Linked DNA regions of Elephas maximus indicus. The protein of the gene in region 3 binds, or shares a complex with, the protein of the main gene of each other region. Links are inferred from orthologs where the notes say so. Each region holds a gene or a part of one and is shown on either strand. Other genes may lie near its edges.

The links.
Region 1: TAF6 (region 3) and TAF8 share a complex: the UniProt entries of both Homo sapiens proteins name them as parts of the TFIID basal transcription factor complex. The link is inferred for Elephas maximus indicus from reciprocal best matches to the Homo sapiens genes TAF6 and TAF8.
Region 2: TAF6 (region 3) and TAF3 share a complex: the UniProt entries of both Homo sapiens proteins name them as parts of the TFIID basal transcription factor complex. The link is inferred for Elephas maximus indicus from reciprocal best matches to the Homo sapiens genes TAF6 and TAF3.

Annotation. Positions count from the first base shown.
Region 1 is NC_064819.1:106,460,322-106,467,627, reverse strand, and holds the start of TAF8 (transcription initiation factor TFIID subunit 8), read right to left. Parts: upstream 3,055-7,306; 5' UTR 3,038-3,054; coding exon 2,993-3,037; intron 1,544-2,992; coding exon 1,387-1,543; intron 1-1,386. UniProt on the Homo sapiens protein: The TFIID basal transcription factor complex plays a major role in the initiation of RNA polymerase II (Pol II)-dependent transcription.
Region 2 is NC_064822.1:50,500,752-50,508,798, forward strand, and holds the start of TAF3 (transcription initiation factor TFIID subunit 3), read right to left. Parts: upstream 3,055-8,047; 5' UTR 2,863-3,054; coding exon 2,697-2,862; intron 1-2,696. UniProt on the Homo sapiens protein: The TFIID basal transcription factor complex plays a major role in the initiation of RNA polymerase II (Pol II)-dependent transcription.
Region 3 is NC_064830.1:91,624,036-91,631,998, forward strand, and holds the start of TAF6 (transcription initiation factor TFIID subunit 6), read right to left. Parts: upstream 3,013-7,963; 5' UTR 2,781-3,012; exon of another isoform or gene 2,715-2,780; intron 1-2,714. Other genes in the region: CNPY4 (protein canopy homolog 4), read left to right, coding at 3,232-3,373, 5,460-5,586, 5,674-5,770, 6,386-6,508, 7,226-7,343, 7,437-7,579. UniProt on the Homo sapiens protein: The TFIID basal transcription factor complex plays a major role in the initiation of RNA polymerase II (Pol II)-dependent transcription.

The sequences.
Region 1 (7,306 bases), on a different chromosome or scaffold from region 3:
ATTCTCAAACGGTGGTCTGGGAACCCCTGGGAGATCCTGAAATCCTTCAGAAAGTCCACAAGGTCAAAACTATTTTCATAATAAAATCAAGATATTTGCCTTTTTGACTCTCATTCACTCATGTAGAATTTTGCAGACGCTACATCCCCTGCGAGGATGACATGACTCTGGTGGATAATGAAATCTGTGCTTGCCCATTGTTATGTTCTAATGTGACAAACATTTATATCTGTATTGCTCTATAGAAAACCCACATATACAAAAGCTCCTTGGAGTCTTCAACATTTACGAGTCTAAACGGGTCCTGAAACCAAAAAGTTTGAGGTTTCTGCTTTAGGAAAACATTTGCTGTTTAAAAAGTTCCAAATATCAGCTGCAGAAAGCTGCTCCGCCTGAGATCACACCCACATCCAGTGACTGATCAGGACTGGAGTACAAAGGCAGGCCATTTCAGCCTGATGTAGGACACTCTGGTGGGCAAGAAATACTCCAGGTTTCCTGTGGTCTTTGTCCGGCCTGCACTGTAGTTCTTCTCCCTCTGCCCAAGCCTTTCTCTCACTTCCTTTCGCAAGTGTTGATCCCTGAAAAACATCTTAAACATCCCCATCCCTCATTCTGCCTCACCCCCACCAAAATAAAAGTCCCAAACAGGGAAATCCATTGTACATGCAGAAAAGCCTATGTGAGGCCATAACAGCCTTCTTAACTTCACGCCATTTCCTTTTTCAAATGTTTATTTCATTCTATAAAATTTATTCATCCTCATTTTTTGTATCAAACAATATAGCATTTGATTACATAATGTGCTGGCATCTATTTCACGGAAATTTGTCTTGGCATTCCAACAAAACTGACTGTTCTTTGAGCACAGACAGCAAAACAACAGTAATAGGGCACCTACACATCATCAAGAGCTTATGACGTTCCCAGCATTCAATGTTTACATATACATATTACTTAACTTCAAAACTCCAACCTGTTGCTGTCAAGCTGATTCCAACTCACAGCCACCCCACAGGACAGAGTAGAACTGCCCCATAGGGTTTTCAAGGAGCGGTTGGTGGATTTGAACTGCCAACATTTTGGTTAGCTGCCAAGCTCTTAACGCCTGCACGACCAGGGTTCCAACCCTCACGATTCTATGGGGTGTAAATTATTATCCTATTTCACAAAAGAGGAAACTGAGGTTCAGAAGGTTTAGTGATTTGCCCAAGCTATTAAGTGACAGAGTGATGATTTACACCCAGGTCTACCTGATTTCTAACGCCTGTCAATCACTTTACTATGCTTTAGTTTGTCTTAAGTTCTCTCACATTATCACCACTCAGGTCACAGAACAGATACTTGGGTTGACTCAAAGAAAGCCTGATATTTCCCAGTACTCACAGCTCTGCAGCATCTCTGTCAATGTTTCCACGGACGCTTTCTCGGCACTTTCAAACCCTGCCTCTGTCAGTAAGGAGCTCACCACCACTTGCAGGGTTCGTCTCCGGGCCAGATGGTAGTTATCAGCAGGGTTAGTGGACTGTTTACTTCCTGATCTCTGTCAATCAGCAACCCAGAGAAATTTTCATCCGCAGGACAAGGATGCAATCACACAGTTCACAGAGTCAATGACGAGCAAAAGTTATTTCCTAAATATGTATGTCAGTGCTTAATAAAAGGTAAAGAGCCCTGGTGGTGCAGTGGTTAAGGACTCTGCTGCTAACGGAAAGGTTGGCAGTTCAAATCCACCAGCCACTCCACAGGAGAAAGATGTGGCAATCTGCTTTTGTAAAAGATTACTGCCTTGGAAACCCTACAGACAGTTCTACTCTGTCTTACAGGGACACTATGAGTTGGCTGGATGGCAACGGGTCTAATAAAAGGTAGTCACCCCTTAGACTTAGCAATCTGGGCCCATTGAGTAATAACTGAACACCCAACTTGAACATGGTCTAAATACAGACAACCTCTGCCTACCTAAAACTTACAAGTCCAATAACACATAATGGTGTTTCCCCCCCGAATGATATTTTCGGTGTGTGTGTTATGTGGTGCAAATATATACAACAAACCCAAACCCACTGCCATCAAGTCGATTCTGACTCACTGCAATTCTATATAGAGTTGATTGCGACTCATACCGACTCCATAGAACTGAGTACAACTACCCTATAGGGCTTCCAAGGTTGTAATCGTTATGGAAGCAGACTGCCACATCTTTCTCCCATGGATCCGCTGGTGTGTTGAACTGCCGACCTTTTGATTAGCAGCCCAGTGCTTTAACCACTGCGCCAGCAGGGCTCCACACACAACAAAACTTTCACCAATTGAATAGTTTTTCTGGGCATAATTCAAGGCCAATGACTACTGTTCATGTTGTACAACCCTTATCCCTATCTTTTTCCTAATTATTCTGCCACCATTAACGTAAACTCAGTGCACAAAGGCTGTTTTGTATTTTGTACCTTAGCAGGTTGTCAGAATATATTACTGAAGGAGCACACGCGATGGGACTGAATTCATGCCTATCGCGGGGGCGGGGGGAACTCTTCCTCTTGTCCTCCCATCCCCACGCCACTTCACTAACAAGGAAAATTAAAACAACAACCCATAACCCTCGGGAGAGGAGCGTAAAGTGTACAAAAAATAAATAAATAAAAGTGTACAAGCACAGAAAAATAGGGAAGCTAAGTATTTTGAAACAGGAATCTCTCCCAACTTTGGTTGGCCAAGGTAAAGGCGAAAACGGTATCTTCGGACCAATCAGGAGGTGTTCCGGATTCCCAACCCCCCAATAAGGAACGAGCCAATCAGGACACAGGTCCTCCAACTCAGAAGGCCGCCGCCAAGTCACAAGAAGGGGGGGCCCGTACGGCCTGAAAGACCCTTCTCCACTTGGAGTTTATGATGGGCTGAATTTGTGGATATAAGCTTGTTGACAAGGCCAGGGGGAAGTTACGGAACATCCAGACTCTCTCGGTTTCGGCCCCGCGCTTCCTGCCCTTACCGTTCCGGAGCTGCCAGCCCCGGCTGAAGCCGCTGTGTCGGCCATCTTGCTCTGGCGTAATGTGTCTGAGCGCAGGGCGAGATGGGACTTGTAGTCTCGGGGTGGTGAGGGCGTGGGGCGGGGCGTGGGGCGGGGCGTGGGGCGGGGCGTGGGGCGGGGCGTGGACGTGGGCGGGGCGGCAGACCTGGATCGGGGTGCCGCTGTTGCCCCGGCTCACGAGACCTTCCGAGAGCGAAAGTTTCACCTGGCCCTTGTGGGCCAGGAAATGGGCCAAGAATATGTGCCCTCGGTTTTACTAATTAAAAGAAATCTGTTTCGATATGAAACAGTTTCTCATAAAGAGCACACCCCTGGAATGATCCAGGAGGTCGTCTACACTTGCGACGTTTTGCAGATTTGCAACACCTGGCTTAGCCAGCCCAGCTCCACAGACGTAGTCGGTGTGTGTGTGTGGAGGGGGGAGCTGAGAACCCGTGTTGTTATCTCGCTCCCCCGGGGATTCTCCCGATGAGGTCCTTTTGGGAAGCCCTGAAGCGTGCACCCTATGATTTTGTACCTGAAGACCCCGACGGCGGCCACCTAGTCCAGATCTTCCCTCTACATCTCGCCCTCAGTGCGCACACATTTGCGGGGGCCCGCCTCGCTCCAGGGGCTTCGCGTCCACGCGCCTGCCTGTGGTTTTCTTTCACTTGCCCATCAGCCCCTCTGGACTGGGAGCCCTTCGGGCGCGGGTCCTCGCTCCTCCGCGCCTTATTCGTCGTCGTTAGCCGGTGCCTGGCAGGGCGCGGACGCTGGGTTTGCATCCTAACGCTTGCCAGCTGTGGGACTTCGGACAAAGTATCTCATCTCACTGTGCCTCAGTTTCCTCTATCTGTAAAATGGGGTTGGGATTGATACCAGCGAAAAAAATGAGGTACTGCAGAGACAGGGTTTGTCACGGTGCCTGACGTATACGGTAAGAGTTCTGGAAATTGTACCTAATGTTATTTATTTCCTGGGGAGCGTGTCGATCATTCACGAACGCCCAGCAGGCAGAAGTGTGGAAACCCGCACGGCGCCGGCCCCGCGGCCCCACACCTGAGCCTCGGTGAGCGCTCCCGCGCCCCGGGCACGTGGGGGGCGGGCGTTTGCGGACTGGGGGCGTGCTGCGTCGGAGGAGCGCCCGGCTGCGCGCGGGCGCCGAGTGGGGGCACACAGCAGCCGAGCGAGGACCCAGCCCCTTTGTCTCCCCCGCCCCCCCGCCCCACTTCCTGCCCAGCTAGCTTTCAACTCGGGATCGGCGGCGCGGCACTGACTTGTAAACACGCCGCGCCTGCGGGGGCGGAGACCGGCTCAGTTTGGGCGTCGGGGGAGGGGTGCAAGGCTCTCCCCAAGAACACAAGCGAGAGGCTGCAAGAGACGGCGTCTGCGTCCACGTTCCGTGCTTCGTGGGACCCACCTGCCAAGGAGGTAGGATTGGGGGCTGGAGAAACCAGGAAAGATGGGGTGTCAGTCTCGCCCCCCTTCGCTGAGGCTCCGAAGCTCAGGCTGCAGACCTTAGGGGAGTGTTGGAGGCGAGCGGGTTATGGGGGCTACTTTGCTCTCGTCATCTCCCCGTTTGTCCCCAGAGCTCTGCTCATTTTCCTTCTGAGTGAGCTCTTCTACATGGGAGCTGCAGAGGAGTGTCCAGCTCCTAAGTAGGAACCCAGCGCCCCAGTTCTTTAGATACCTGTACGTCCACAGAGCTCCGCTCCAAGATGACCTGGAAGCCAGGTGGCTTCATTATGCCGTCGGGTGCTTTATACCTGAGAGATGGGGTGGGGAGGAGGAGGAGGAGAACCAGGGTGGGCAGGGAGCCTGGGGGTGCTCCTGCCAGCCAGGGTTGAGAGAGGGAGGTCAGTCCACAGACATAAAAGGAGGGACCCCTCAGTGTTCTCCCACTGTGGGGTCTGATGGGTAGACAGGTGATGGTCTTAGCTTCCTCTTTGAAGAAAAACTGTTTCTGAGGAAGAACTGAAGAAATTGGTTGCCTTTTCGAAGGGAGCTTTAATTTACTCACCGCAAGCATTGATTGAGCACCTACTAAACGCCTGGCATTGTCGGGGGGGGGGTGGCCGACGGTGCAACGATGGTATTCATCCACTGCTAGTGTGGGTCCCAGAACAGGAGATAAGGTGCCAAGTGCTCTGGCTGAGATGGCTGGGGAAGCTTCAGAGTGAAGAGACATTTGAGTTGGGTCCTGAAAGATGAATATTCAAGAGGCAGAGAAGTGGTGGGAAGTCTTGGGGGGCACTTATTCATTCCACAAAGCTGTACTGAACACAGACTGTGGTATTGGGCGTTGGATACACTGGGGATGCAGACAAACAAAATTCCTCCTCTTTTAGCCCACTGTCTAGGCATGAATAGAAGGGAATGAATTTGGGGAAAGGCAAGTTTCTGGGCTGTTTCCCAAGAACCCAGGAATTTCCAGCACCACAGTGCAGCTGGAAGGGCCCCCCTGGGGGTGATGTGACAGAGCATATAACCCTGGGGCACTCACTCCTCATCCCTGTACTCTGAAACTGGTTCCTCCAACCAGTGCTTGCCCTGTGCCTACCGCCTCCTTTCTCTTTGGGGCCAGGCATGTGTGAGGAGAACTGGATCTCCATTGCTTTCCTGCAGAGTCTTGGCTTTTTCAATTTCTGGGCTCCTTTGAGAGACGGCTGACACGGCAGTTTGTTAATTCTTCATCTCTTTGCTGGGGCCATGCTATGTGCCCGCACAGGCTAGGTGTTGGGGATATAATGGTAAATAAGTCAGAACCTGTACCTCCTAAAGCTGAGAATGGAGTGAGAGAGTGCATCTTTGAGGATTCCAGCAGGATCCCAGTCTGTGTCCATCCTTGAGGACTCTGACCTTCTCCCAAGCACCTTCTCCTTCCTGTTTCCTTTGAGGGCTCAGAATACTAGCTAAGGCACTATTGTCAGGCTTTGTTCTAAGTGCTTTAGATGTAATTTGTCATTTAATCCTCCTAACAACCCTATGAAGGAGCCCTGGTGGTACAGTGGTTAAGTGCTCAGCTGCTAACAGAAAGGTGGGCAGTTTGAACACACCCAGTATAGCTCTGCAGAAGAAAGACCTGGCAATCTGCTCCCATAAAGATTACAGCCAAGAAAACCCTATGGGACAGTTTTACTCTGTCTCATGGGGTCACTATGAGTCGAAATCAACTCGATGGCACCCAACAACAGAAATCACAGCAGCCCTATGAGGTAGGCACTGGAATTATCTCCATTTTATAGAAGAAAAAACTTAGGCACAAAAGGGATAGACCTGTCTCAGAAGAATGCAAGAAATAAATGGCAGAGCCGGGATTTAAACCTAGGTCACTTGACTTGGGAAGCTGTGTTCTTAATTTGCCTGTCTCCTTGACTGACCACGTAGAAGGTGGACCTGAGTCAGGGACCTATGAGTTTCCCAAAGGGAGTTCATGGTCTTGCACACTTGGGTGATACGAAGGAGCATGACCAGCAGCCTGTTAGCTGAGCTTGGGTGCTGGTACTGCTTACAAGGAACCCTAGCAGGTTTGGAGCAGGCTTGTGGGAACGGCACAGAGCTGCTTTCCTTTCCTGATGGCCCCGTGTGTGCTTTGTTTCCCTGGGTGAGCCTCACACACCAAGAGGAAGGAGGAAAGTAAATAACACAGGAGGAACCAGGGTTAGATGCAAGAAAGAACTTACCAGCATGGCTGCGATGTGGCAGAATCTGGGCATGTGGGAAATCAAGATAAATGGGCACACCAGCCCAGGGACAAGGAGGAGAAGGCAGGAGGGAACAGGAAAGCTGGTAATGGGGAACCTAGGGTCGAGAAGGGGAGAACATTGATGTGTTGTGCGTTGGCAACCAATGTCATGGAACAATGTGTATTAATTGTTTAATGAGAAGCTAGTTTACTCTCTAAACCTTCATCTAAAGTACAATTACAAAAAAAAAAAAAAAACCTAGCAGAGATCCTTCTGTTGTAGATTCCAAGAGGACCCGTCTACTAGGTAGCTGAGTAAGGGAAGATGGTCAAGAAGCGAGAGTTACTCCTAAAATGCTGCCTCAGTTTCTTAGTGCTGCTGTAACAGAAATGCCACAAATGGGTGCCTTTAAGGAACAGAAATTTGTTTTCTCACACTTCAGGAGGCTAGAAGTCTGAATTCAGCGTGTGGCTCTAGGGGGAGGTCGTTCATTGTCTATTTCAGATTCTAGTAGCCAGCAGTCTGTGTTTCTCGGTGATCTTGTGACATCTGTCAGCGTCCGTTTGTGCTGTCTTGTGTTGCGTGTTGTAACGAGACAGTGATTAGGTTT
Region 2 (8,047 bases), on a different chromosome or scaffold from region 3:
GCAGGAGACTTTTACTTCTAACTATAAACACTTTCACAGTCTTTAAATTTTTCTGTGAGCATGGGTTACTTCTATAACGTATTAGAAAGTAAAAAGTAAAATTAATACTCATTCTTCCTCTTACTAACACAATATCCATTTCAATTCACCTATCTCTTGCTCACCTCTCACTGCCGTCAAGTCGATTCCGAATCATAGTGACCCTATAGGACAGAGTAGAACTGCCCCATAGAGTTTTCAAGGAGCGCCTGGCAGATTCGAACTGCCGACCTTTTGGTTAGCAGCTGTAGCACTTAACCACTATGCCACCAGGATTTCCCCTATCTCCCGCAGGCACTTATTCTCAGTTTAAAAAATATGATCATCTTTAATTCCTCCTTAACTTTTGCAGTCTCAATCCAAAAGCTTCTGGTATTTTCTCCCCTTTTTGCCATGGGTTTCAGATCATTTTTCATTCTCTCTATTTCTACTACCTCAGTATAGTTTCAAGTTCTCTTAACTTGAAACTCTTATATTTCATTGCCAGTATAATTTTCTTAAAACATCACTTTCATCATACTATTTTTCTACTTAAGAGTATGCAATGTTTTCCTATTATCTACCCCATGTTTTATGGGTAAGCGGTGGTTCAGTGGTAGATTCTTGCCTTCCATGCAGGACAGACGGGTTGGATTTCTGGCCAATGCACCTCATGTGCAGCCGCCACCTGTTTGTCAGCGGAGGCTGGCATACTGCTAATGATACTGAACAGGTTTCAGCGGAGCTTCCAGACCAAGACAGACTAGGAAGAAAGACTTGGTGATCTACTTCCAAAAATCAGCTAATGAAAACCCTGTGGATCACAACGGTCTGATTTGCAACCAATCTAAGGGCATGTCCCTGAATGCTTTGAGAAATCATTAACTTGGTGCCCAAAAATTATTTGTTGAAAAAACAGAAAGGCTTTAAAGGAGTGGAAGACAAGATTGCATAACAGTAAGTTGAGTTTACATAATTTGATTTTAAAATTTTGATAGTATAAAAAAGGAATTAAAAAAAAGTCTGTAATTAAGTAAAACAGGAATTAGCATTTTAAAAAGTCACCAAACCACGATGGGGAATAATGAACCTGGTAATTGCATCCTTGCTAAAATCAAGAAAGTGACTATAGAAATTGAGTAATTAGGGAAGAGGTTCATAATAATGCATAGCAATGATGACTTAGGAATACAGGTGAGTGACAGCACATATTCTGGTTTGTGTATAAGGCAGGAAAGTTAACTATGTATTCGGGGGATATTTTTATTTTATTTATTTATTTTTTAATGATACAGAACCTGTCCTTTTTAGGGAACCTGGTAGCAAAAATCTAATTTGGAGTATGCATAACCCCTAACAATATACTGAAGGACTGGGAAGAGAGAGAGGGAAGCAAAAGCCAAGAGGGTACCATGCTGCTAGTGCGCTTGCAAGGTAACAATGAATGAGAGTTACTTTTAGTCCAAGCTTGGAACTTCAAAGTATCACTGAAATCAAGGATTCAAAAAAATACACATTTCTGGATCTCGAAAAGCAAATCAATAGGTATTATGGTAGTGGGTTATTGGTTAATTCGTTTATTCAACAACTATTTGCTGGATGCCTATTATGTTATGGCACCATACGAGGTTATAGAATACAAATATAATAAACAGAGATCCACAGTCTGCTAGGGAGAGGAAGGGTGAGAGACATACACAGATAATGACAAAACAAGGTGACAAATAACATAAATATGCACAGAATTATGAGAGCAGATAACTTGAGTTCAGGAAACAATTTAACAAAGCAAAATATCCTACAAAAGACTTCAGTTACCCAGCTTGCCATTATAAAAACCATGACCTGGAATTTAAATGAGTGGAAGTGCCTTTCCCTCCCCCTCCTTCACGTCAATGAGATGTGTGACTTGTACTAAGTATTCCAAGTTATCAGATATAGATACTATCAGACATTCACCTAGAAAACATAAATACTGTAGCCCAGACTACCTAAAGAACCCTCATAAGCTGCTCTGATCCCTATAGCACACTTTCATAACCAGTAATACATAAAGAGGGAAGTCAAGGGGTGACTGAGATGTCAGTTAAACTAATGAGTGAAACTGACAAAGCCGAGTTTGGGAAGCAGTGAGTACGGATGCTGTCTATGAAATAAACAGGTATAGAAAGAAGAGGCAGTGTCCCTAACGGAGCAGAGCTGTCAATGAGTGTGTTATGAGCTGAAGAATAGCCAGTCTTGTAAGAAACGGCCGGTAGACGGAGCGCCTGTGACAACTAGTTGTAGTAGTTTGTGGGGAAGGAAGGAAAAGGACCAAGGTAAAAGAGCGTTTAAGACATTCTGGGGATGGTTCTACATGCACCAAAAACGAGACAATCAGAAAAACTGATGCACACTTCAGAACAGAGAAGAGATAAAAGGGTATGGAGTTGGGAGCGGAGACAGGGCTCCAAGGCTGGTGGCGGGAAGTTAGCGGATGAGGAAGAGGCATTAAAGGGATGACTACAGTTTCAAGGGTGAATGGAAGCGACGGACCGTCAGGGGCCAACGAGATACCAGATTTCGGGGAAGAAGTGAGGAACTAAAAACTCGTAGGTGCTAAGATACAGAAGGGGAGACTAAAGGTGTCACCCGTGACTTGCCAAAAGCAATCCTCCCTCACCCAGCCCGGTACTCACAGAGCTCAGAGTACCGATGGCAGCCCCGTCCCAACTGCTGCAGATAACGCTGCAGCACGTCCGTGAGGAGATGGCAGGCGCTGAGCTGCACCGAGTCCCAGCCCAGCGCCTGGCAGATCTGCGCCACCGAGACCCTCAACAACGACCTGGAGTAACTCTCACACATCCCGTTCCGTTGACTCCACCGCAGTCCTTGCTGCCACTGCTCTCCAGCCCCACCGCCTAACCTTAGCAGAGCCCCCGATTCATCCTCCAGGGCACCCGTGGCGGGGAAATCGTCCCCTAGACCCCCGGCGACCACCTCAAAGCTTCAGCAACACAGAGCGCGCGAGCCTGAGAATCGCCATTTTGGACTCGCTCCGCCTCCCTCTGGACTGTCGCCGGGGCGAGGCAGCACTAAACAAATACTGATTGCGTCAATGAAAAAGCGCTCCGCCCCATTTGAACAGATCGATTGTTTTGGTATCAACTCTTATGCCTAGAACACTGCAGGAAAAGACTATGAAGAATTCTAGTAGAGGTTGCGCCCCTGAAAAGTCAGATGGTTGAGGCATTCCCAGTGCGGCTTTCACGTGGAGAAGGAGGTGCAGGCAAACCGCGGTATTTTACGGGAAAAGAAGCTTGGATATGTAAATGAAATGAACGTTTTAGAGAGAAATGTTAATCAGAAAGGCTGTAAGTGCGGGAATGGGGTTTGGGGGAGAGAAACAAACTGAAAACGCGGATCTAATCTGTTCTCGTCGCTGCTTAAAAAGTTGAGCTGCTTGCCATGTTGTTTATTGTTAGATGCTGTCTAGTAGGTTCCGACTCATAGCCACCCTATGTACAACAGAACGAAACACTGCCCAGTGCTGCGTCATCCTCACAGTTGTTGCTATGTTTGAGCTCATTGTTGAAGCCACTGTATAAATCCATCTCATTGAGGGTCTTCCTCTTTTTTGCTGACCTTCTACTTTACGTTGTTTTTTTTTTTCTGGGTCTACTTTACCAAGCATGATGTCCTTCTCCAGGGACTGATCCCTCCTGATACCATGTCCGAAGTATGTGAAATGAAGTCTCACCATCCTCACTTCTATGGAGCATTCTGGCTGTGCTTCTTCCATGACAGATTCGTTGTTTTTCTGGCAGTCCTTGATGTATTCAGTATTTTTTGCCAAAACCATAATTCAGAGACATTAATTCTTCTTCAGTCTTTCTTATTCATTGTCTAGCTTTCGCATGTATATTAGGCGATTGAAAATACCGTGGCTTGGGTCGGGAACACCTTAGTCATCAAAATGACATCTTTGCTTTTTAACACTTTAAAGAAGTCTTTTGCAGCACATTTGCCCAATGCAGTATTTCGTTTGATTTCTTGACTGCTGCTTTCATGGGCGTTGATTGTGGATCCAAGTAAAATGAAATTCTTGACAACTTCAATCTTTTCTCTCTTTATTATGATATTGCTTATTGGTCCAGCTGTGAGGATTTTCTTTATGTTGAAGTGTAACTCATACTGAAGGCTGTAGCCTTTGATTTTCATCAGTAAATACTTCAGGTCCTCTTCACTTTCAGCAAGCAAGGTTGTGTCATTTGCATATTGCAGGTTGTTAATGAGTCTTCTTCCAATCCTGATACTGCATTCTTTTTCCTGTAGTCTAGCTTCTCAAATTATTTGCTCAGCATATGGATTAAATAAGTATGATGAAAGGATACAACCCTGACACACACCTTCCCTGATTTTAAACCACACTATTCCCTTGTTGTGTGCAAACAACTGCCTCTTGGTCTATGTAGAGGTTCCATGTAAGCACAGTTAAGTACTCTGGGATTCCCATTCTTCACGATGTTATCCATAGTTTGTTATGATCCACACAGGTCAAATGCTTTTGCATAGTCAGTAAAACACAGGCAGACATCTTTCTGGTATTCTCTGCTTTAAGCCAAGACCCATCTGACATCAGCAATGATATCCCTTGTTCCAAGTTCTCTTCTGAATCTGGCTTGAATTTCTGATGGTTCCCTGTTTCCAGACTAAGACAGACTAGGAAGAAGGACCTGGTGATCTATGTCTAAAAATATAGGCCAGTGAAAACCTTATGAATAGCAGTGGAACATTGTCTGTTATAGTGCCAGAAGATGAGCCCCTCAGGTTGGAAGACACTGAAAGTACAACTGGGGAAGAACTGCCTCCTGAAGTATAGTGGACCTTTATGACATGGATGGAGTAAAGCTTTCAGGACGTTCATTTGCTTATGTGGAACGATTCAGAATGACAAGAAACAGCTGCAAACATCCAATAATCAGAATATGGAATGTAGAAAGTATGACTCTAGGAGAATCAGAAGTTGTAAAAAAGGAAATGGAGCATGTAAAGATCGATGTCCTAGACATTAGTTACCTGAAATAGACTGGTATTGGTCATTTTGAATCAGACAATCATATGGTCTGCTATGCTGGGAAGGACAAATTGAAGAGGGGTACAGTTGCATTCATTGTCAAAAAGAGCATTTCAAGATTTATCCTGAAATACAAGGCTGTTGGTGATAGGATAATATCCATATGCCTACAAGGAAGGCCAGTTTATATGACCATTATTCAAATTTACACATCAACCACTAATACCAAAGATGAAGAAATTGAAGACTTTTGCCAACTTCTGCAGTCTGAAAATGATCAAACATGCAATTAAGATGTATTGATAATTAGTGGTGATTGGAATGCTAAAGTTGGTATCTTAGGCTGGGTTCTCTAGAGAAGCAAAACCAGTAAAGTGTATAGAGAGATTTATATCAAGGAAATGGGTCACACAGTTGTAGAGACTGGAATGTCCCAAGTCTGTGGGGCTTCACATAGCCGCAGGGGATGGCAAACTCAAGCTCGGTAGGTCAGAGAGAGGGCTATTGCTCACAGGCTGTGAAGATCAATGAATCCCAAGATCAGCAGGCAAGACCACAGATAAGCTGCTAGCTCCAGTCCCAGAAATTGGAGGTCAGATGAACAGGAGCCATCTACAGGATCCAGAGTGAGCAAAAGCCATGAGCCTTGCTAGAATGTCTGCTTATATTCAGTGCAGGCCACACGCCCAAGGAAACTTCCCTTTTCAACTGATTGGCTACTTAGAGCAGATCCCATCATGGGGGATGATCCCAACATCATACGACCACCAAACCACTGCCCAGCCAAGTTGACCCACAATCTTAACCATCACAGTTGAAAACAAAGAAGTATAACTATTTGGAAAATATAACTTTGGTGATAGAAATGACTCTGGAGATCACGTTAGAATTTTGCAAGACCAATGACTTCTTCATTACCAATACCTTTTTCAAGCAACATAAACAGCAACTGGACCCACCAGATGGAATGCACAGGAATCAGAACAACTACCTCTGTGGAAAGAGATGATAGAGAAACTCAGTATCATCAGTCAGAACATAGCCAGGGGCCAACTGCAGAACAGAAGATCGATTGCTCATATGCAAGTTCAACGTGAAGCTGAAGAAAATTAAAACACATCTACAGGAGCCAAAATGTGACCTTGAGTATATCCCACCTGAATTTAAAGACCGTCTCAAGAATAGATTTGATGCATTGTACACTAATTGCCAAAGACCAGATGAGTTGTGGGATGCCATCAAGGACATCATACATGAAGAAAGCAAAAGGCCATTAAGAGGACAGCAAAGAAAGAAAAGACCAAAATGGATGTCAGAAGAGACTCAGAAACCTACTCTTGAACGTAGAGTAGCTAAAGTGAAAGGAAGAAATGATGATGTAAAAGCTGAACAGAAGATTTTAAGGGGTGGCACGAGGAGACCAAGTATTGTAACGACACATGCAAAGACCTGGAGTTAGAAAACCAACAAGGAAGAACACAATCAGTATTTCTCAAGCTGAAAGAACGGAATTAAAAATTCAAGCCTCAGGTTGCAATATTGGAGAATTTTGAATATTGAAGGATTCTATGGCAAAATATTAAATGACACAGGAAGCATCATAAGAAGAGTCACTGTACCAAAAAGAATTTGTTGATGTTCAGCCATTTCAGGAGATAGCATATGATCAAGAACTGATGGTATCAAAGGAAGTTCAAGCTGTACTGAAGACATTGGGGAAAAACAAAGCTCCAGGAATCGATGGAATATCAATTGAAATGTTTCAACCAGGGGATGCAGCATTGGAAGTGCTCACTCATGTATGCCAAGAAATTTGGAAGACAATTACCTGGCCAACTGACTGGAAGAGATCCATATTAATTATCCAACAATATCGTTAATGTTACACTCAAGTAAAATTTTGCTGAAGATAATTTAAAAACTGCTTACCATAATATGGATTAAAGTTCGAACTGTCATTGAAAGCCCTTAACAAGAATGCTGGGACTAGGTGAGGGGAGTGCATAATTTTAGGGGGCAACACAAAACTCAGTAATCAACATTAATTTAATATTTGTTTAAATATTAAATACAGTATTTTTAAATCTAATTTAATGTCAGGATAAAACATCTGTGATGAACAAAGTGTCAGCATTTTAAATAAAGACAGGAACCAATCCTACATTCAAAGAGTGACTCAGCCTCACTCATCTCATACTAATCTCAGCCCTGCTTCCAATAAATTTTATTTGCAAAAAACAGGCCACTTGCAAGTGCACCGTAGTTGCCGATTTGTCTGCCTCTAGCCACTGATCTATCAGGGGAACAAGAAACTTCATTGTCTACAGATCCCTAACAAGTAACCGAACAGAATTCAGTTTGGTGGATGTATCAGAGACTGTTGTCTACTCCAGGGCATTCTCCTACCTCCAGCCAAGTGTTGCCAGATCTTTCCAAGTTGCTGGAAATTGAGTTTTTAGGATAAATACCTTGGTTTTTAAATATTGGGGACACATTTTGAAAGTTTTAATTTGCAATCCAAACTAATTATAGGGTTAAGCCAGATTGGGGCTGTGGGCTCAAGCTTCTGTAGTGTTCCCTCCTCCCATCCCCTCATCTCTTTACACTGTGTCTCTGTTAGCTTCTCTGTATTTAGACATTTCAAAGTGCGTTTAATATTTGAGCTTATGTGCTTCCCCTAATAAATTGTGAGTTTCAGTGTGGTTCTGTATTCCTCTTACAGAGACCGTTTGATAATAGGTTTTATTTATTTATTTTGAACATTTTGTGCTTTAGTTGAAAGTTTACACGACAAATAGTTTCCCGTTCAACAATTTATACACACATTGTTCTGTGATATTGGTTGCAGTCCCCACAATATGTCAGCACTCTCCCCATTTCCACTCTGGCTTCCCCATTTCCATTCATGCATTTTCCCTGCCCCTCCCTGCCTTCTCGTCTTTGGTTTTGGACAAATGTTGCCCTTTTGGTCTT
Region 3 (7,963 bases):
AGCAGCCATCTAAGATGCATTGATTGGTCTCAACCCACATGGAGCAAAGGAGAATGAAGAACACCAAAGACACAAGGTAATTATGAGCCCAAGTGACAGAAAGGGCCATATAAACCAGAGACTACATCAGCCTGAGACCAGAAGAACTAGATGGTGCCCAGCTACAACCGATGACTGCCCTGACAGGGAACACAACAGAGAATCCCTGAGGGAGCAGGAGAGCAGTGGGATGAAGACCTCAAAGTCTCATAAGAAGACCAGATTTAATGGTCTGACTGAGATTAGAAGGACCCCAGAGGTCATGGTCCTTCTGTTAACCCAAGACAGGAACCATGCCAAAAGCCAACTCTTCAGACATGGATTGGACTGGACTATAGGACAGAAAATGATACTGGTGAAGCATGAGCTTCTTGGATCAAGTAGACACATGAGATGTTGGGGGCAGCTCCTCTCTGGAGAAGAGAGGAGAGGGCAGAGGGGGTCAGAAGCTGGCTGAATGGATACGAAAATAGAGTGGAGGGAAGGATTGTGCTGTCTCATTACAGAGAGAGCAACGAGGAGTATATAACAAAGCGTATATAAGTTTTTGTATGAAAGACTGACTTGGTTTGTTAACTTTCACTTAAAGCACACACACAAAAAAAAAAACCTCCTTGAAAGAGTTGACTTTGAACTCCTTTCTAATTCCTTTCCTTTCCTTCTTATACCCACTGCAGGCTTTTGCCCCCACTATGTCCCTGAAACTGCTCTTGTCAAGGTCACCAACGATTCCACATCACTAACTCCAAGGTTCTCACCTTACTTGACCTCTCAGCAGTATACAGTTGACCACTGCCTTCTTCTGAAAATACTTTTCTTCACTTGACTGCCAGACTACCTGCACTCGGTTTTCCTCCTACCTCACTGGCTACTCCCTTGCTGTTTCCTTTACTGGTTTTTCCTTTTCTGTCTGCTTAATTTTGGAGTGTCCTGGGCTCAGTCCTTGGTCTTCTTCTCTAGCTACATTTACTTCTCTGGTGATCTCAACCACTTCTATGGGGCAAACTTATATCCCCAGCCCAGATCTTTCTCCCCAATTCTAGACTTGTATACTCAACTGCCTCCTCAAAAGCTCCACTAAAACTGAACTCCTGATCTCTACCCACCTGTTCCAGGCTCAGCTTTCCTAATCTTCACTTACAGCAGTGCCGTCCATGCAGGCACTCAATCTTTATCTGAACCCTCACATCGGACCCACTCTGATTCCCCCACTTCCAACATCTTGGCCCACGTCACCATCATCTCTTCCCAGGATATCTTCAAAAACTTCTTAACAAGGTCTCCCAGCTTCTACCCTCACCTACCTACATCTATTCCTAATAACTATTCCTAATAGCCAACATAATTCCATCTAATGTAAACCCCATCATGTCATTTATCTGCTCAAAATATTGTAATGGCTCCCCATTTGCCTTATAGTAAAATCCAAAATGCTTATAATGGCCCACAGGGGCTTTTATGGTTTGCCCCATCCTCATTTTATCTCTGACTTCCTTTCTTTCCCTTTTCCACCTCCAGCCACACTGTCCTCTTTGCTGTTTTTTGAAGCTGCCAGGCATACTCTTGATTTATAGTCTTTGCTCTGTTCCTTTGGCCTGGAATGCTCTCCCCAAGATATCTGCTTGGCTGCCTACTGTGACCACTCTATTTAACATTCCATCCCACCCTCATTCTGCTCTACTTTGTTCCTCCCCTCCCCCCCCCCGCCAGCATTTAACATCTAATATATTCTATAATTTCTTATTGTTTACTACCACCATGTGAGCTCCATGAGGACAGGGATATTTGTCTGTTATGTTCACTGATGTATTCCAAGAGCCCAGGCAATGACTAAGGCAAGGTAGACCCTCAATAAATATTTGAATGAATTGTAAGGCTTAGAGATGTTTGTATATACCACGTAGGTGTTCAATAAATACTCGGCATCACTACTGCCAAGATGAATAAGATACAGGCCCAAGCTTGGAATCTACTCTGTGATCAAAAGTAGTATACTTGGAGCTGTACATTAGGAAGATACAGGTCAATAGTGTTCAGCACCGACTTGGGGGGCAGGGGAGCGTGAAGGAGGACTGGAGACGGGGAAGGTGCAAGACGCAGGAGAATTTGGCTCTTCTCAAACCATCCCAGGTCTCCTCTCCCATTTTATAGCTACATTTTTATGTACCTGTAGGGAACACATTTATTCAACACATATGCTGTGCCTGGTGCTGGGTACACAAGAATTCCTATCAATCCTCCAACATCCAGCGGTACTCACCTCCCCTCAGCGAAGCCACCCCACTCCCCAACAGAACTAATCACTCCCCCGCCGTTGTCCCCAGAATCTGGTCCTTTTCAGGACGTTTCCCACTGGAGGTTGACTACGTATCTGTCTTTCTGCTACCCCCGCATTGGGCCCTATAGATACAGGTGTGCAATGAGGGCTCATAAAACTCCCTACAGCCTCAGAAGCCCCTCAGATCAGTGGAGGCACTGGGAAGGCTTCCCAGAGGGCTGGCTTGACCTACGTCTTCCAGGCTGTGTAGTTTTCCCAGCAGAGAAAGTGGGGGGAAGGCCCCCAGGCAATGGGTACAGTGCGAGCAAAGGCTCAGAGAGCCCACCCCATCTCCCCCAACATCCTTCAATGCAAACACACACACGGGGGTCCCCACGCGCAGGGACACACAACCAACCGTCCTCTTGCCGGTCCCCACAAGGGACCTTTTGGGGGTCTTGTCCCTGGTATCACTCAGACCCACCCCCGCCAGCCGAGCGTCCAAGCCTGCAAAGTCTCTCACCGCCGCCAAAGCGCCGCTCACCCGGCGCTGGGCGCCATGTTGGGCCCGCCCCCTCTAGGGAGCAGGTCCGGGCAGAGGACAACAATACACGGCCCCTCCGCGGAGCTGGAACGAGTCCCCTAGCCTTACGTCCTGAAATGATATAAAAACACTGTTTCTAAATATGTGGGAAGGAGTACTCTCTCCCGTCCCAATTACTCTGATTTATTCCTTCACTACCCGTCGGCCAGGACCTTCAGGAGGCGCCACCAAACCTGGGCGGGGAAGCCCAGAAGTACGTAAGGCCCCGCCTCCTTCGGTGGGCACTGCGCACGCGCTCGAGCTGCTAGGCTGGATTTCCAGCAGCCGTCCACCCCTCCCTCTGAATTTAAAGGGCCCGCTGCCTTGCAAAAGTTGGTTCGGAAATAGAAGAATGGTTGTTCGTGGACCGCACTTTGTCATGGGACCTGTGCGTTTGGGGACGTTGTTTTTCGTTTTGGCAGTGTTTGGGGCTCGGGCCAGAACGCCGAAGGAGCAGGACGATGACTTAGAACGCTTGCCCAGCAAATGCGAAGGTATCTAAAGGGAGTAGCATCTATCTGTATCCCCCTGCCGCACTTCCCTCGGCTGGGAGCGCGTTTGGGATGAGGGTGGGAGGATGGGAATGTAAGAAAGGTTGGGGCCATACAGTAAAGAGACTTGTATGCTATTGCTAGAAACATTGGCTGTATTCTGCTCACAGTAAGAGGACTGCAGGGGTGTTAAAGAAAGGACTGATACGACCAAAGGGACCGTGATGGATAGGTCACTCGACCTTCTTGAATGCCTGTAGGCGGTTCGGTGAACTTGGCAAAATTCGAAAGAGATCAAGGAAGGGAATGGCATAGTGCGATCTCAAGACTATGGCAGTACAGTTCCCATGAGACATCCAGAGGGAGCCCCCTTTGTCTTGCGAGGTTGGGCCCCCATGGTTTGTGGGAATTGTATTTCAGGGACTATGCCCAGGACTGCCTACTGCGTACTGAGCATCTTCGGGTGTGTGTGTGTGCGTGCCCCTTGTCACTGGACCTAAATCTGGAGGGCGTGCCGGAGCCACGTGTGAGGTTCATACCTGTGGACATCCTCTGTCCCAGCTCCACAGAGAGGCTCTCAAATTACAGGACCTGTGCACCCCTGAGGGGGGCTGGGAGTGAGCAACTCCACCCTTCAAGCTCATAAACCAAAGAGGAGGTCACACTGCTGTGAGTTTCCCTATGATGTGAGGCCTTGTAGAGGGTGTGCACTGTATGGATTTTACAGCAAGCAGCATCTTCTGTGGCTGCGTTAGTGTGGGCCCAACCTGGGAGGGGCACTTCAGAGCTGGGTAATCAGGTGCCCTGGTGTCCCTAGTTTGTTGCCTTCCTGATGGTAATTTCTTCCCTGGATCCTTTTTCTCTTCACCTCATCCCTTACTGCATATCAGTAGCAGTGTTTCTCAGACTCTGGTCCTAAGCTCTCTTCTCCCTTCACTTCTGTGTCCCCACTCTTCTCTCCACCCGGCAACATCCATCATCCTTTCTGAACACAGACATAAGCGTGTCCATCCGCTTGTCCTTATTTTAACACCCCTACAATCCTCTTACTGTGATCAGAATACAGCTAACATTTTGGGCATAGTGTCTTAAGTATCTTTGCTGTAACCTTTCTTATATTTCCGTTTTCCCATCCCCTATCCCAAAACGGCCCCAGCCACACTGAACTTCTCACTGGTCACCGGTCACCGACTCTGCCTTATCCTCTTGCACCTCTTGCCTTTGCACATTGTTCTTCCCTTTGCCTGGAGTGACCCTCTCCTTCTGTGTCTGGTAAGCACCTACCTATTCTTCAAGACCCAGTTTAAACATTACCTCCTCTGGAAGTCTTTTTCCTCATGTGTCACCTCCCACTGTATCATGCTCCTTGAGGGACAGGGTGTGTCTGTGTATTCCAAGCCCTAGCATAGCACCTGGTACGTTTTAGGCACTTTTGTTACTTGCTCCAGTATTTAGTTTGCCTGTCACTTCTGTATTGGTCATACGCTTTTATTGGGACCCACCACGTACCAGGTCGCGTGCTAGGTGCCGGAAATACTGTGGCAGAGCAGGAGTGATGTTTGCTCTTCAGGAAATCACTGTTGAATGAATTTTGTGTTTCCTCATGAGGATGTCTCTTTATCTGAATCCCTAGTGTAGAGTCCATTGCACCATATTGTCATCATCTGTCTGTCTACACTGGCAGTGTCACATGTCCCATGGATAGGGATTGTGGGTTTTATTGCTGTCTATATTAGTGTGCATACAAAAGTCACTCAATAAATAATTGCAAAATAACAGCAAACGTATATACAGTGCTCACTGTGTGCCAGGCATTATTCTAGGGGCCTTACATATATTAACTTATTTCATCTTCGCCGTACCCCTTTGAGGGAGATACTTTCATTATCTCCATTTTAGAGATGAAGAACCAAGGCACAGCAAGATTGTCACACAGCCACTAAGTGGCTGAGCCAGGATTCTACCAGTTAGACTGGCCCCAGAGCCTATACTTAACCGTCATGCTGTGCTGCCTTTGGTCATCTGCAGAATGAGGTGCTGGTGTGTTTGTTTTTCTCTCACATCTCCTTGAACGTCTTTATTCCGTAAGTCTGTAAGCTGCTGAGCCTGGAGCTACAGGAGGAGCTGAGCCGCACTGGTCGATCTCGAGAGATGCTGGAGCTGGGGCAGGTGCTGGACACAGGCAAGAGGAAGAGACACGTCCCTTACAGCATTTCGTGAGTCTTCCTTGGTGTCCCTTCACTGTAAGAGCCCTGAGAACTCCTACAGCATCCAGGGAATCCTTATTTCCCCTCTTCCCACAGGGAGACAAGACTGGAAGAGGCCTTGGAGAATTTATGTGAGCGGATCCTAGATTACAGTGTTCATGCTGAACGCAAGGGTTCACTGAGATACGCCAAGGTCAGACCCTTCTCCAGGGCAGCCATGGTGGGGGATCCCACCTCTTAGAGACAAAGACTTATATTCCCTGAGGTCCACAAGAGATGTCTGCCCATCACTCCCCATCTCCAGTGTCCCCTTCCCATCATCAGACTCCCCCCTCTCACCTTCATGGAATTCACTCCTCAGTCTCCAGTAGTTGACAAAGTGGATATGGTGGGAAAGAGGAAGAAAGAGGTGGCCAGCAGGCTGATCCCATACAGGGGTATAGTGAGCGTAACCAGTGCCCAGGGGCAATCTCTAAGTTGCTTGGAGTCCCTCACATTCAAGCACCCAGGGGCAATCTCTATATTACATGCCTTCCCCAAATTTGAGCACCCAGAGGCGATCTCTAAGTTGTGTCCCCACCCCAATTTCAAGATGCATAGCCTTCGATAGTGGCAACTTGTCAGCAGAAACACCTTATCGCCTCTTGTCTGGCTGAGCCAGTTTTCATATTTGTGGCGCCTCGAAATGTTATTCCGCATGTCATCTGGCACCCCCTTCAACTTGCATCTCGGGGCAAGTGCCCCACTCTGCACCCATCTAACCCCCGCACCCCACTACATCTCTGAACCCAAATTCCTCATCTCTCAGGGCCAGAGTCAGACCATGGCAACGCTGAGAGGCCTGGTTCAGAAGGGGGTGAAGGTGGATCTGGGGATACCTCTGGAGCTGTGGGACGAGCCCAGTGTGGAGGTCACGTTCCTCAAGAAGCAGGTAGGATAAGATATTGTGCTGCCCGAGGGGGGAGAAGGGGACCTGAGAGGAGAACTGGGTCCTAGAATTTGACAGTAGGAGACGTCTACCTCTGAGCAGGGAGAAGAGGGCAGAAGTGGTAAAATGAAGACTACCGTGAATTGAAGTGGGCTTGGGAGAATACCAAGAAGTGATAACAGAGGCTAATAAATAACCCCTACGGCTTATTGTGGGAGCTCTGATTAGAGCTCGGCTGATAACCAAAAGGTTGGCAGTTGGAATCCACCAGCTGCTCTTTGGAAACGCTATGGGGCAGTTCTACTCTGTCCTATAGGGCTACTATGAGTTGGAATCAACTCGATGGCAATGGATTTGGTTTTTTAACTGCTTATTGAGCACTTGCTATGTGCCAGATTCAGGAGGCCATACTTCCCAGCTGCTGCCTCATTTACCCTCACAACAACCTCTTGAGGCAAGTACTATTACCATTCCCCATTTTACAGGCAAGGAGCTGAGATTCAGAGAAGTTCAATAAACTCCCTGGCACAGAGTAGGTGCTAGGAAATGTTTATTGAGTGAATGGGCATCACACATCTAGTAAGCCAAGCTTAAAACCCAGGCTGCCTGCCTCTCCAAGGTCAGCCAGGTGGGATAGGGGAGACAGGAAGTGGAGAGCAGAGAGGAGGGTTTCCGAAGCCCAGCAGAACAGACGCCCTTTTGGCCCTTCCTCCTGACTAGTGTGAAACAATGCTGGAGGAGTTCGAAGACGTTGTGGGAGACTGGTACTTCCACCACCAGGAGCAGCCCCTACAGCATTTTCTCTGTAAAAGGCACGTGCTTCCAGCTGCAGAAACTGGTAAGTGTGTGGGCTGGGCTCCTTTCCTGCGAGGTCACAACCTCCCCTATTTCCAGGACCAATATCTAAACCATCTTCTGTCACCCAACCTAGCGTGTCTAGAGGAAACTTGGACTGGAAAGGAGGAGATCACAGATAGACAAGAGAAAACAGAAGGGGAGGAGGAGCATGAAGAGGAGGAAGAAGAGGTAACCAAGACACCAGGCCACCCCAAGCATGACCCAGAGGACCTTTGACTTGTCTTGGAGCCCCCAGGAAGGGCAGGGGTCATGGAGAAGAACCTTCTGACGTATGAGCTTTCCCTGCCCCACAGCTTTAATGCTGTATGTTGTGTGAGTGACCCATTCCAGGGCTTGTAGCTGTTCTCTCCTATCTGAGGCTAGGCAGGATCCTGGTGGTACAGCATGGCATACTACTGGGAGAGGCTGGGAGCAGCAGGTTGAAGTCCTGCCCCAATAGATGGGCCCTCTGCCTGCCATCCAGCACCTTGAATGGCAGGTGTGTGTGCTGACAATACCCAAGGCTTTCCCCTTTAAATATCTCTATTGCTTCCAGAGGTCAGCAGTGACTTTGGGGCTGTGGAGCTTGGGAAAGTCCCTTTGCCTCTCTGGGTCTCAGTT